Linked DNA regions of Pelodiscus sinensis. The protein of the gene in region 2 interacts with the protein of the main gene of each other region in a biochemical or structural test. Links are inferred from orthologs where the notes say so. Each region holds a gene or a part of one and is shown on either strand. Other genes may lie near its edges.

The links.
Region 1: the proteins of SKI (region 2) and SMAD2 form a complex in vitro, tested with the Homo sapiens proteins (4 studies listed by BioGRID). The link is inferred for Pelodiscus sinensis from reciprocal best matches to the Homo sapiens genes SKI and SMAD2.

What each region holds. Positions count from the first base shown.
Region 1 is NC_134716.1:117,161,595-117,168,503, reverse strand, and holds the start of SMAD2 (mothers against decapentaplegic homolog 2), read right to left. Parts: upstream 3,002-6,909; 5' UTR 2,935-3,001; intron 1-2,934. UniProt on the Homo sapiens protein: Receptor-regulated SMAD (R-SMAD) that is an intracellular signal transducer and transcriptional modulator activated by TGF-beta (transforming growth factor) and activin type 1 receptor kinases.
Region 2 is NC_134733.1:19,049,906-19,057,885, forward strand, and holds the start of SKI (ski oncogene), read left to right. Parts: upstream 1-4,976; 5' UTR 4,977-5,738; coding exon 5,739-6,650; intron 6,651-7,980. UniProt on the Homo sapiens protein: May play a role in terminal differentiation of skeletal muscle cells but not in the determination of cells to the myogenic lineage. Functions as a repressor of TGF-beta signaling.

The DNA.
Region 1 (6,909 bases), on a different chromosome or scaffold from region 2:
TTGGTACTACTGAAAAAAAAAAACCCACCACCACACGCTAATCCCATCACATGACCTGCAGCAATTCTGTTTAACAAATTAACAGTTACAAATATTTTGGCAAAGTAAGCTTAGGTATTGTTTGCCTCTAAGCACAGTTGACAAGTCATTACATCCAATCAGAAAAGCAGAATTTACAACTCACTTAGCAACTCAGTCCTATAAATGGATGCTTTCAATTAGAGAATTTACATATACAGCCCATTAAGACAGTGTTAATACATCTGAAAACCTAAAATATTTGTACAATAACTCAAGTTTTATCCTGCACTGTTTTTAGAAAGAATTTGGAAATCTCTTCTCCCTCTGGTACAGCGCTCAAACTCATCACCCTTCAGACATGTTGCAAGGTTTGTTCAAGCCTTTCTTTTGATAAGAGATGAGAAAAGTTTACATCTCTCAAACTTTCAGCAATACTGAACATTTGTAAGCTCCAATTAAATTCAATGGTAACTACAGGTGCTCAGCACTTTGGAAAGATCGAGCTGACATAAGAGGATTGAAAAAGATCCAGCAGGGCCTTTACTTTGGAAATTCTCTTTGTATGAGCAAATTAAATCAACAAAGCGGGTGTTGGGGAGGTTGGAGTTAGAAAGAAAAGAAAGACGTCAATTTAGACAGAACTGAACTCTTACAAATGTAAGCTTTTCAATTACCCTATGACCTTATAAACTTTGCTAGAATTGATTATTCCTACTATAAATTTGACATACAACATCTTTAATTCTTGATAGAGAGGACAAGACAACTCAGTTTAAATTTCAGCACACCATTTTTGATCTGCACTTCCAAGTAGGGATGTAAAACAGCATTTAATCAGTTAAACATACCATTTAACTGGTTAATCACTTAAACGGGCTGCTCTGGACAGGCAGGAGCTGCTCTGGCCTTGCTGGGCCACTGGTTAACTGGTAACTGATAAGCATCGCCCAATAAGTGTGATGTCCACCAGTTAACCATTGACATCCGCAGCGGGTTACTCCCAGATCCTGGACTAGCAGCGACTAAGCAGGGTTGCCTGCCGAATTAAGTAGAAGCCAGCCAGGAAAAGGCAGCCCCGCTCAGTCCAGGCTCTCACTAGGACCAAACCCCACTGCAACTTTAAAAGGCAGTAAGAGCCAGGCAGCCTATCCCCTGACCCCACTGCATTTTTAAATTGCAGAGCCACTGGAGGTAACCTCATGATGAAGTTAACACCAAGATAGCAAGCTTCACAGTTTAAGATAAGCAGAGTAATGTCTCCAACTGATTTTTTTACCTCCCTTGATACTTAAAGGCAGATAATTTTGTGAAAGTAACATGTTAAGATACACTGAAAAGCTAAAGAGCTAAATACAACTTGAGAGGAGAAACAAAAATATGTGAAGGAAAGCCTACAAATCATTACAAACTGGAATCTTATTGGATGGAAAGTTTCTCATTTTTACTTTACACATGCAAAGCAAAAAAACGTGCATTTTGCTAAATTTGCTACTATAACCACCCCACAATTAACAGTCTGTCAATTTTAAACAGTTGGCAGTATAATCAAGCTGTCCTCACTGCAGCCTATTTTGTTAAGAAGGCAGAAGTTTAAGATTTTAAAGATACACTAAACAAATGCAAAAATCTAACTGGCTTATCTTACTGTAAGCTTTTTGATACAAAATATATCATCATTATTTGTATACTCAGGAACTGCTTACTATAATCTGAAATAAATTGCATGAGTGATATGTACATCTCAGCACTCACTGAGGGGAGTTTAAGAGTTTCCAGTCATCCACAGAACAGAAACAGAATTTGGCTGCAGTTAAAAGCAGCTCTTAACTGTTAAAAACTCTTTTCTAAAAGCTACAACCATGGTACTCTCCTGCTTCACAAGCCAACATGAACTGAAAACAAGGTATTCTACATTTGAAACTGGATCTCAAACAACCGTCCTACAGACTATGAACTAATGAATTCACTCAGCTGTTTTTCCTCACACATATGCTACACACAGCACTACAAGTGAAAGTTTTGCAAAATTGCTAAAACAATCGCTATTTGCAGTCATTACAGTGCATCAATTATAGCACCCACTGGGTATGATGCTTGCTTACATCCATACAGTTCAGTTACAGGAGAATGAAGAGGATGAGCAGTCACTGGCTGCCAACAGGTGAGGGAGGGTTAACCCCCTAGGAACACTCACTGAAGTTAAGGCTGAATCACTTTCCCTCCCCCTATTTTCAGCTCACAATTTTAGACAATACTGGCTCTCTCTCAGGCAGTAGTTTTCCACTTTTAATCTGTGTGAAGCTCTTCGGGAAAGTCTAAGATCGAGTTTTTCCAAAGGAGGGTGGGGTGGGCAGCGAAGTAGTAATACGCCCACCTCTAACCCCACACCATCGGTCCCCAGAGAGAAGCTGCCACGGGCCCACCCAGCCACCCCTCCTATTTATATCCTGAGAGCAGGGCCCGGCCTAGGACTGCCAACCCCACTGAAGCTATTCCAGGCGACCCCCCCCCCCGCACCCCCAAAAAGGGGATGTCACGCCACTGCCGTGGAACGCCCCATCACAGCCTCCAGGGTCGCTTTCCCCCCCGTCCCCGGGAGACTGGTGCTGATTCCGGGAGACTCCCGACCAAGCCGGGAGGGTGAGCAGCCCTGACCCGGCCGCTCACCCCCACTAGGGAAGAGGCGAGAGAGACTCGGGCCCAGCACCAACCCCCCACTCCCCGCCGGCCTGAGCCTCCGCCCCAAACCTCGCCCCCCCTCACGCGAGCCTCCCCCACAGCCACCGCCTCCCACAACAAAGGGGGGGGGGGCGCTGCCTAGGCCGGCGCGTATCCCTCCCCCCACACACAGGCAGCACCCGCCGGGACTGGCCACCCCGGCCCGGCCGATGCCAAAGCCGCCCAGAGACCAACCTCTTCGCCTAGCTACGCCGCTACCACCTCCTCCTCCTCTCCCTCTCGCTGGCTTCCTCTTTGCCGCCGCCCACTCCGCCCGCCATTGGTTAACGAAGGCGAGGCGGCGCACGCCGCAAGCCCCCCCCTGATTGGCTCTGCCTTGGGTCAGTTGTGAGGAGAGCGGGCGGCGAATGGCTAAACGAAGGCTACGTCCCGCCCAGCCAAGCGATTGGCGCGCCTGCCACCCAATCGGCGAGAAACGCCGTGGTGGAGTCCTCGCGACGGAGAGCGTGATCCGCGCGAGGGCCACGGCACTCGCTGATTGGCCGACACTTGTGTCGCTCCCCGCCGGGGGAGGTGGCGCAGGAAGGCGAGCGAATAAAAAAAAAAAAAAAAAAAAAAGGCAGGGGGGAGAGCGCCGATCCTTCCGCCAAGCGGCCGCTGAGTTCGCTTAAGAAAGTAGTCGCCTTCCGCGCGGCAGCGGATTCCAGCAGCGAGAAATAGTCCCGTCCTTCCCCGTCACTAGTCCAACCACCTCCCATCCCACACGCCTCCCCCTGCAGCATGACCCGGCCAAGGGTTAAATGAGGGACCATGCACGGGTTAAAAGCCTCCCCCAAGCACCCCCCCAGATTCAGTGCAGTGGGGGGGGGCTCTCATCTGCTTTACAATCTCCCCCCCCCCCCCCTCCACACACACCTGTGGTACCAGGGCCACAGCACCTCACAGACCTGTGGCAAGTGCCCATCCTCGTGGCCCCTGCCCTCGCTCCGGGAGCCCACCACGCTGGCAGCTACATGGCCCCTCCGCAGGCAGCCCTCCAGCGTCCCATCCAGCGCCCCGCGAGGTGGCGAGCGTGCAAATGCATCACCCACGGGCGGTCCCACAGGGACATACAAGCGCCCTGCAGGAGAGGGAATCAGGATTCAGCCAACTCCACTCAGCTAGGGACCACCTCGGAGCGCGGGCATTGCAATGCCCGATCCATCTCGTCTCTGCTGCTGCACGCAGCCAGATGCTGGAGGTGTAAATCTCCCACTCTTGGCAGAGTGCAATAATCTGCCCTCTTCCTCATCCTACTCTCCATTTAAGACTGGTACAGCCCCCACAACGTGAGGTTTAACATCCCTGTATTTGTCATTAAATATGATAATCTTGAAAAACGACTAACACGGTTAACCCTCTGAGTAGGATAATCGTGGCTATTCTTGGTATCCAGAAGGGAGTGCACCCCTTTCTGAATCTGGATTAAATTACATTAAATAATATAATGTATGTTGGACAAGATTTACATTAGGAAGCTACAGGTGAAAGGCTCTACAACTAATTAATAATGCCTGAATGTGTATGGTCTCTCCCCCCATAAACCCAAATGCAATGCCTTCATGAATGAACCTTTCTGTCTTGAAAGATAAATGTATTAATTTAAATTTTGACCTTTTGTAAGCTTGCATACACAGGGAGGGTCTGACGCTGGACAAACAGGCAAAGTCTCCCACAGACTGCTCTCAAAGTCTGGTACACCCTGCTCTTAAAGAGAGCTCTCATTAACCAACTACAAAAGCTAAATATTAAAGTCAAGGCCCGCTCCTGTATAGCATAAGCCACCAATACCAGCATGCCAATCAAACAACCAAAGTGAGATCATAGTACGATAATCCACAGTGACTACTACTATTCATTGAACCAGTGGAGGGAACCTAATTCTCCTACACTTATGGGAGTACCCTCACCATGAGGCTATAAAGTCAATTGCTCTGGCTACATCCTCAATATGTAATTGCTTGTACAAACTGGAACAGCTCAAACAGAAGAGACTGAAACAGACCCACCCCTGAATAGCTAATAGCCAGGAGATTAAGGCACCTGCACTCAGATCTTGGATATCTCAGGTAAATCCATAAATCAGAGATGTCAACCTTGGTTTTATGAGATGAGGGCCATAACCATTATGCTAGTGAATACTTTGGGTTCTCTGTCTAACGTATATTTTTATACATCAAAATTTCAGTTTTGTCCCAGTGCAGAATGGGAAAACTTGAAAGTTCAAAAATATATTTGGACAGGAAACAAATTTGCCCTAATGATGTGTTTGGCATTTAATCTCTAATCATGTGTTTGGCATTTAAATTCACACCTATAGATCCCCCACAGAGTCTGCTATTTCAGCTCTGGGAGGAACTGACTTGGGGGTGGAAGGAAAGCATGCTGTTACTGTTTCCATTCCTGGCACTGGGAGCAGATTGTGATCTAATGATTACAAACAGCATAGCTAAAATGTAGAAACATCCCTGTATGGGTCATATGTGAGGATGAACTTGGTATGTAGAGATATAAAGAGTCTCTACTATTTGAGGTAAAGAACCAGCTCTTTTACAAAGCAATGTCAGTGTCACAAACTTCTATACGTGATGCAACTGCTTGAATGTCATGCAGAGCCATACTAGAAGTTGTTCATCTGAGGAAGTGGGTTGTGCCCACGAAAGCGCATGATACCATCTATGGTTTATTAGTCTTTATGGTGCTACTAGGCTATTTGTTGTTTTTTAAGTTTTTCCAATTACAGACTAACTAGGCTATTCCTCTGAAGCTCTACACCAGGGCTACATCTAGACTGGCATGCTTTTCCTGAAATGCTTTTAACGGAAAAGTTTTTCGTTAAAAGCATTTTTAGAAAAGAGCGTCTGGATTGGCACGGACACTTTTCCACAAAAGCACTTTTTTGCAGAAAAGCGTCCGTGGCCAATCTAGATGAGCTTTTGCGCAAAAAAGCCCCGATCGCCATTTTCATGATTGGGGCTTTTTTGCACAAAACAAATCTCAGCTGTCTACACTGGCCCTTTTGTGCAAAAGTTTTGCGCAAAAGGGACTTTTGCCCGAACGGGAGTAGCATAGTATTTCCGCAGAAAACACTGATTTCTTACAGTAGGAAGTCAGTGCTTTTGCGGAAATTCAAGCGGCCAGTGTAGACAGCTGGCAAGTTTTTCCGGAAAAGCGGCTGATTTTTCGGAAAAACTGGCCAGTCTAGACACAGCCCAGGTGTGGGCAATAATTTTTGCCCAGGGGCCACTTCAAAAATTTTTGAAGTAGCCCCGGGCCCCCAGAAGGGGCAGAGCTTAAACAGGAAGGGCTGGGTCTACCCACCCCCAGACCAAAATTGGTCTGGGGGGTCAGGGAGCCCCTTTGCCCCCCCTTCCCACTATGCTCCCATGTCCTGGAAGAGGCTTGGCATGCTGCCCCACCCCGAGGCCAATCAGGGCCTGGGGGCAAGGGAGCGCAGGTAAGCCTCCTCTCACCCTGCAAGGTGCCGTGGGCTCCTGTTAGGGCCAGGGCAGGGGAAAGGAAGCTTCACACGGTTCCCCAGGCCCTGATTGGCCTGGGGGCCAGGGAGCGCAAGAAGCCTCCTCCCTCCACCGCGAGCAGCGTGCAGCGCTTCAAAGCACCACATGCTGCTGGCAGGGTGGGAGGAGGCTTCATGCACCCCCTCTCCCCCCGCACCCAAGCCAATTAAGGCCTGGGGGCGGAGGGGGGGGAGCACACAAAGGCTTCTCTGCTCTGCTTCTGCCCTGCGAGCAGCGTGCAGCGCTTTGAATCGCCATGTGCTGCTTGCAGGGCAGGGACAGAGCAGAGAAGGCTTCAGGTGCTCCCCCACCCCAAGACCCTAATTCACCTGGGGGCGAGGGAGCAGCAGGGCCTCCGCAGACCGGATCCAGCCTGTGGAGGCCCTTTTGCCCACCCCTGCTTTAGACGCAGTTAATTTGGCATGTTCCTTCTCAAAGACTAAGGGCAGGTCTTCACCAAGGTGACGTGATTGTATGGATTCACAAAAGGATTCTTCCACTGACCTAGTTACATCTACACTTGCATTGGGTCAGCTTAACTATAGCAACTGGTGGTGTGAATTTTCCAAATCCCTGAGTGACACAGGTAGTTTGCTCTAAATGTTAAAGGTATATCTACCAGATGGAAACTGTATTAGCATCGCTATAATGC
Region 2 (7,980 bases):
ATCTCCCGCTTCCCCACCGCACCCGGTCAGTCTCCCCCTTGCTACCTCCCTGCTGCTATTTAACTCAGCAAAGCCTCTGGGAGACGGACAAACGGAAGTTTTACTGTATTGTGAGGGCTGCGAATGCCAGCCTTTTAATGCCTAAACCTGTTAAGAAAAACCACAGCGTTTAGCAATTTGATACTAATCCTTTCCCCTTCTCTAAAGCTGCTTGTCTTTTGAGGATCTCAAAATGTGTTACACCCATTCATGGAACTAATCCTCCTTCTGAGACAGGGCAGGGTCACTACCTACAGTTGTGAGAATAGAGAAACTGAGTCACGGAATGGACTTACCCAGGGTTACCACTGGCATGTAAACTGCTCATAGGAGGACATACACAGTTTCCTTCTACCCCGTGATTTATCTGTAGAGGGGAAGAGCCAGGGAAATGCTTGTCCTCCAACACAACTGCTCCCTTGCAGTCAATATCTCCTCTCTCCTCAGCTGTCTGATTCTGATCTCACCTCAACCCAGGTTCATAGCCCGCTGGGGTCAGAGGGAGCCTTTCCATTACTTCGCTAGACTCTGAATTAGGCCCCGATGCTGTGTTTACACTAGTATGTCTCCTTTAGCCTCAGTAGGATCAGTTCTGATTCAGGGCCTGATCTTGCTGCCTTTAAAGTCAATCAGCGTTTTTGGTGATCTTAGGCTCTATTTGTTAAGGGCATGTCATATTAACCAGCTGAGACTTCCAAAGCAGTCTAAAGGAAATTGTGCCCACGCCCCCATGACAGATCTTTGAGAAATCAATGCTTGCCTAACTCCTATAGGCTCTTTAAATCATTTATTTATCAGCCTTTCTATGGCCATCAGTTGTGTAGTACCTGAGCAGCTCACACACACACACATTAATTTTACCCTCAGTCTTCCTGGCCAGGCCTGACTAGAGTATGTTGGGATCTTGTGCACTGTGGACATTGGAAGCCCTGCAGTGTTCCCTGGAAACTGAGTGCTTGGGCGGCCACCCAGGAGAGATTCAAATGGCACCTAGTTTATTGGCAAGGCGCCTGCAGTCAATGGCGAGTGATTATGATAATGCTGCACTGGTTAATTCAGGCCTGCCTGCTCCCAGGGAATCAGCATTGCTCCCATTTTACAGATGAGGAAATGGGGCACAAAGAGATAAAAAGTTTTGCCCTAAGGCAAAACTTAAGGAAGTCCCTGGGAGATCTAGAAATAGAACCCAGATGCCCTGTGCCTTAGCCACCAGATCATTCTCCCTTTCCTTTGTATGGTCCTCTCTTTCCTCTATGAACTCCAGTTAGTGCCAGCCCACAAACAGCTCCTTACACGATTATAAAATCATGAGTGGTGTGGAGAGGGCCGATAAAGAAAAGTTATTTATTAGTTCCCTAAATAGAAGAACTAGAGGACACCAAATGAAATTAATGGGGAGCAGGTTTAAAACTAATAAAAGAAAGTTCTTCTTCACACAGCGTGTAGTCAACCTGTGGAACTCCTTGCCAGAGGAGGCTGTGAAGGCTAGGACTATAATAGAGTTTAAAGAGAAGCTAGATAATTTCATGGAGGTTAGGTCCATAAAAGGCTATTAGCCACGTGATAGAAATGGTGTCCTTGGCCTCTGTTTGTCAGAGGCTAGAGAGGGATGGCAGGAGACAAATCGCTTGATCATTGTCTTTCGGTCCACCCTCTCTGGGGCACCTGGTGCTGGCCACTGTCGGCAGACAGGATACTGGGCTAGATGGACCTTTGGTCTGACCCAGTACGGCCGTTCTTATGTTCTTATGTTCTTATGATCCAATGGATATCTGAGTGGCAGACACCATCTTGATTGGGAGGAGCTGCCTCTCTTCAAATAAGCCTTGTGGGGGGGTGGGGATGGTTGTTTTTTAACCATACACTAACAAACCTTAGTAAGTTTCCTTCTAAGTGTGTGTGTGTGTGTGTGTGTGTGTGTGTATCTTTAAAGGGATCAGGGACTCTATTGTTGGTGTTTGAATACATCTGGATTTTTCTCTTAGATCTTAATGGATCTAAAACCAGCTGGAATTGCAATTAAATTTGTCAGAAGAGTATTATTCTGTGTTCCATCCCTGTAGCATTTGGGTACCTTCCAAATAAAATAAATTCTCTAGTGAGATCTCTAGAGCACTTCTCTCCTTTTGGGGTCAAATCTCTGCTTGGGACAAAGTCTTTAGTTTTCAAATCCAGAACCCCTTATGATTTGAAAGCAAAAGGACACATGGGTGGGTAGATCTCATGCACACTTCATATTGTCAGGAGGTAACATTCACCATCAGAGTTTCAAACAGGCACCATTGAATTTTGCATTTAAAATAAATTTAAATCAATGCCTTTAGAGATTACTAGTCACACAGTTCAGAATTCTGCCAGTAAACTGTACATTTTTTGCATGAGGGACTGATTATTTTTCATTAATAAATATACAGTACCAAGCATGTTAGGGCCCTGGGCACTGATTAGTACTTTTAGAGCCTATTATTAATTATTTGTATTGCAGTAGCATCTAAGAGAACCAGTCAAGGACCAAGACTGCCTTCTGTAGTACATGAAGTGATATGACAGGTGTTAGTCACATGAAGTTTTTTGCACTCTCTTTTAATACTCTAAACCCAGACGCTTCATTCAACTCCAGACATGAGAATGGAAACCCTGGGCCCAACCCGACTAATTCAAACTGAGGGATGACAGCCCTTTTTAGTGCACTGTACTGCACTTTGCTGCCATCAGTGTCACAGTGAGGACAATATAAGGCAGGGCCTGAAACGTTCAGATGTGTTTGTATATTGGCCTACATAATAGAGGTCTGAGCTTTCCCACAATTATAAATGTTAAAATAATTAAAATGGTTGGACAAAAGTAAGAATGATTTACAAGAGACTGAAATCTCTGGAGTTGAGCCCCAGAAAATGCCAGATCAGATGGTAAGGGAGTGAATCACAGTGGAGAGGGAATTCAAAATCTTAGTATCTATACAAATTCCAAAGGGCATTGTGTTCCCCCAACAGTACATATTGTTGGCCAAATTTCCTCCTATTTTTGTGTCTGCATTTATCTTTCGAATTTAATGTATCTATTTGGCCCTTACCTATTCACTCTTCCCCAATCTGCCTGCACCTGTTGTGTTCTGTTTTATACTTAGATTGTAAGATCTTTGGGGCACAAACTGTATTTTTGCTTTGTGTTTTCACAGCATCCAGCACAGCAAGGTTCTGGTCACCTGGGGCTCCTAGGCAGGGGGGAGGAGGTCCTACATGCAATGGCAATACAAATAATAATTAATTATAGTATTTCTGAACACAGCTTGCATGCAGCCTGGTTTTGTCTGCACGTTACAGTTAAAATGTTGATTCATGAGGGGTGAGGGAAATAATCCTTGTTTCTCTCTTTGGTTTTGAAACTTTTCTTGTATTAGAGCTGGTTGAAAAGGCAGTTAAAAATGGATTTTGATTGTCAAAAAAATTCCATTTTGAATTTCGGCAGTATAATTCTTCGAAAAACCAGATACGTTTCATCCAAAAGGGTTTGTTTATTGAAAACAGATTTGTTAAAAAGTCTTGAACTCGGGGGAATGTCTTCTAGTTCTAGTTTATTTTTGTAACTGCAAGAAACTGAAAGAGTGGAGCAAAAATGGTGCGTGCGAACATGGGTATCTTCTGGTAGGTTCTCCTATAATAAGTAGGGCTGCTTAGGGTCAGGGATTGCATGGCAGACTTGTTAGGAAAATCTTGGTGTTGAAGGAAGTGGTGTTAATGATTCAGTAGAGGGTGCTCTTTCCTGTGAGTCAGTGCACAGCAATGCCTCAAGGGTGGCCCAGAGAGGTCTTTTTGCGTGAGATGTGAAAGGGAGGTCCTGCATTAGTCATGGCCCTTAAAGATCCCAGATTACCTTTTGATTGGACAAATTTAATTTTTCTGACCTAAAAATCCCCCTGCAGTTTCAGCTGAAAATGTGTTTTCCCCCTCTGATTCTTTACTCTGTGTTTATATTGCAGCAGGCTATGTTATAGGTTGTGCTTGGGTTCCATCCATATATGGTCCATTTGTGTTACGCATTTACATTAGGCATATGGTTTGTACTGTGCATGTGTGTGCACATTTTGTTTTACACAATGCATGTGTTTTGTGCATGGTATCTCTATGGCTTGTGTTTGTGCTTTGTGGTTGTGTGAGATGTACATGTTTTACATTTGAAGATGAGTGTTATGCATAACATTTGTGTTTATTTTTATCCCGTATATAGGTTAGGGGCAACTCCGTGTGTTGTGTGTGTGTGTGTTTTGTCATGTGTGTACTTGCCTTGAATTACATACATAGCTCCCCGTCCCAGCCAAGGACCTCTTGGGAAAAAAAGAGGGGAAGTGGAGGACTCCCCTACTAGTCCGCCTGCAGTCCCCTCCTCCAGATTTCCTTGGAAGTGCAAAAGATTGGGAGGGGTTTTCCGAGGGGAAAAAAATTGCAACATCTCCCCCTCCCCCTCGCCGCACGAGAACGATTTTTCTTCCTACATACAGAGGGGGCAGGTATGTTTTGCAACTTTTTTTTTTTTTGTTAATTGCATGGCCCCTGTGTTTGTTGCATGCTCCCCTATGTGCATCCGTCACAAAAAAAACCGGTGAAGAATCAGGACGGGGGGGAAAAGCAGAAACCAAAACCTTCAGAGGGGGGGAAAAAAAAAAAGCCCTCGCCCTCCCGCCCCTTGACTTCCTCGCTGGCAGGTCTGTGAACCCAGCACTTTACTCCTCCCCAGCCTGGCTGCTCAGGGCTTTTCTGTCTGCTGTGCCTTTGCAGAGCGGCTCCGGGCGCAGCGCGGCGCGGGGGGAGGAGCCGCCCGTTCCTGGAAGAGCCCAGCCTGGGGAGTTGGTCACATTCTTGGCTGGGATTCAATGACTGAGGCAGACACCGACAGGCAGGGGAGGGGTGCGGGGGGGAGGAGGGAGCCAGGCTGCATTAGCTCAGCTGCGAGCCGCGCTCAGTCTCTGCCGGGGCGAGGAGCGGGGCGGAGGTGCGCTGCTTGCCTGCAGCTCCCCGCGGCAGCCCACTAGGAGCGAGCCGCGCCGGAAGAACTGAAAGCGAAGGGAACCTGCCCGGGGAGCGACCCCGCGGGGGGAAAGTGGAGGAGCCCCCCCCTGTGCACCCCGCCTGCCGACCCCCCCCCCAGCCGCTCCTGCTCATTTCCTCGGAGCTGCGGACGCGCTGGGAAGGGGCTTTTCCGAAGGAAAGCAGCAAAAAAAAAAAAATTGCAACATTTTTTGGGGGCTGCCCCCCTCCTCTCCTTGCACGAGACCGAGCTTTCCGCCTGCTGCTGCGAGGAGGGGGGGCTATGGACCGCCGGGAGGCCGCTGCAGCACCGCACCAGCCCGCGCGCCTCTGAGCGCCCCCTCCTCCCGGGGGCTGGAGCGTGGCCCGGACTTTCCTAGCGGGGGGGTGGGAGGTTGGGGGCGGCGAGCCCAGCGCGTGCTGCGGGGGCGGCGGGGCGGCGGGCGAGCCCGGGGCAGGGGGCGGGCGGGCGGCACTGGGGCGCGGGGCTCTGCCGGCTGGGCGCTGGTGGCTCCGCCGGGGCGGCGGGCGAGGGGGCCGGGGCGGCGCTCAGCCCACGGGGCTGGCTCCCCTGCTGTAGCGGGCGCGGAGCCGGGGAGGGGGCCCGCCGGGGCGCTTTCCTGCTCGGGGGGCGGGTGGCTTCGGGGGGCCGGGAGGGGCCGCAGGAGCCGAAAGATGGAGACTGTCAGCAGAAGCAGCTTCCAGCCCCATCCCGGACTGCAGAAGACCTTGGAGCAGTTTCACCTGAGCTCCATGAGCTCCCTGGGCGGCCCGGCCGCCTTCTCCGCCCGCTGGGCGCAGGAGATGTACAAGAAGGACCATGGCAAAGATCCCGCGGAGCCTGTCCTCCACCTGCCCCCTATCCAGCCCCCGCCGGTCATGCCGGGCCCCTTCTTCATGCCCTCGGACCGGTCCACGGAGCGGTGCGAGACCATCCTGGAAGGGGAGACCATCTCCTGCTTCGTGGTGGGGGGCGAGAAGCGGCTCTGCCTGCCCCAGATCCTGAACTCGGTGCTCCGGGACTTCTCGCTGCAGCAGATCAACTCCGTGTGCGACGAGCTGCACATCTACTGCTCCCGCTGCACGGCCGACCAGCTGGAGATCCTGAAAGTCATGGGCATCCTGCCCTTCTCGGCCCCGTCCTGCGGCCTCATCACCAAGACAGACGCCGAGCGGCTCTGCAACGCCTTGCTCTACGGGGGCACCTACCCGCCCCACTGCAAGAAGGAGTTCTCCAGCACCCTCGAGCTGGAGCTCACGGAGAAGAGCTTCAAGGTGTACCACGAGTGCTTCGGGAAGTGCAAGGGACTGCTGGTGCCCGAGCTGTACACCAACCCCAGCGCTGCCTGCATCCAGTGCTTGGACTGCAGGCTCATGTACCCGCCTCACAAATTTGTGGTCCACTCTCATAAATCCCTGGAGAACAGGACTTGCCACTGGGGCTTTGACTCGGCTAACTGGAGGGCCTATATCCTTCTCAGCCAGGATTACACCGGGAAAGAGGAGAAAGCCAGGCTGGGCCAGTTCTTGGATGAGATGAAAGAGAAATTCGACTACAGTAACAAATACAAAAGAAAAGCACCCAGGGTAGGTGGCACCTCATTTTTTTGGGGGAGGGGGGAGGAGAAGGGAATTTGCCTACAGTTTCGGGGGTTTCCCGATTAGGTGGCCCCTTTCCCCTTAAAGGCATGCAGCCGTCTAACCATGCTGTGAAATCTGACCCAAGTGGGGTTGCTGTGGAAGAGCGTAGACACTGCACGTTGCTTTCTTATAGATTTAAATAATTGTTCTTCTTGGTGACTTTTAAGTTTGACTTAACATACTTTTTGCTTTGTAATACCTTCTTTGAAACGTACACTAGGGGACCGATCCTATTACCTTTGCTCCCTCCACCTCTCCCCATACTTTCACAGGGAGGTCTGACCAGGCCAGGACTTTGGGACCAGAGCCTGAATGGGAAAGTATGGAAGCTGGGGCAAGGCCCAATAATTAGAACAAAGTGCTCGTTGCAGAAATACACCCTACTTCCTAACGTATTTGTTCCTAAATTGATCAGGTTTGGGAGCAGAGACTAAATGATGGGGACTGGTTACAGGAATAATGCTGACAAAAGGTCAGCAAACTAATAGCCAGCGCCTGGTGTGTGAACGGAGACCGTGCTTGTTGTCAGAATCCTACCCCGAGACTGGCTCTTGTGTATTGGATTTTGTATACATCGAACAAACGTATCTGCAGCAGCCTGTAAGATACACCAGGCGGTGGTGACTTTGCCCCTCCAGACTGCTAAACCACATTTATTTTAGGTGGCTTTTTTTTCCTCAGTCTGAGCAGCCTGAATCCCCAGCATGTGGGTGGCAGGCCATGGTGGCCCCTGGCACCAGTCCTGGTCACTGGGCAGCAATGCCACAGGGCCCTGAGAACTTCCTTGCAGACACCAGGATGTCTGGCTCACCGGTGGTGGTGTAATTGGCTGTGGGATGAGCAGCGTGCTGTCCATTCCTTCCCCCCCCAAACAAACAGTGAAGTCGAGTTAACTCCTTCCCTTGCGTTCTGCTGCGCTTGCTTGGTGGGTGGATTTGGTCTCATTTTATTGAGGGGGGGGGTGTTTAAGGTGCGGTTGTTGTGGGGTGCACAGAGCTAGGAACAGACTCCAGGAGAAGCATTTAAAGCCTATTGTGAGTAGGCAGGGAGATTCTCAGCACTTCCCCAAGGCTTGTTTTAAACACTCACACGCTTTTTAACTTTTCTTTTTTATGAAGTATCCAGGCTTATGAAGTGCTGCGCACACAAAGCTGCACTTAACCCAGCTAGCTTTGGGAGGCCCAATTAATCCAGCTTCTTCCCTCTCTCTTTTCTTTCTTTTTTTTGCCTTCCCTGTTTAAATCAGTGGCTAGACTCCTCTTCCCTCTTGTCCTCC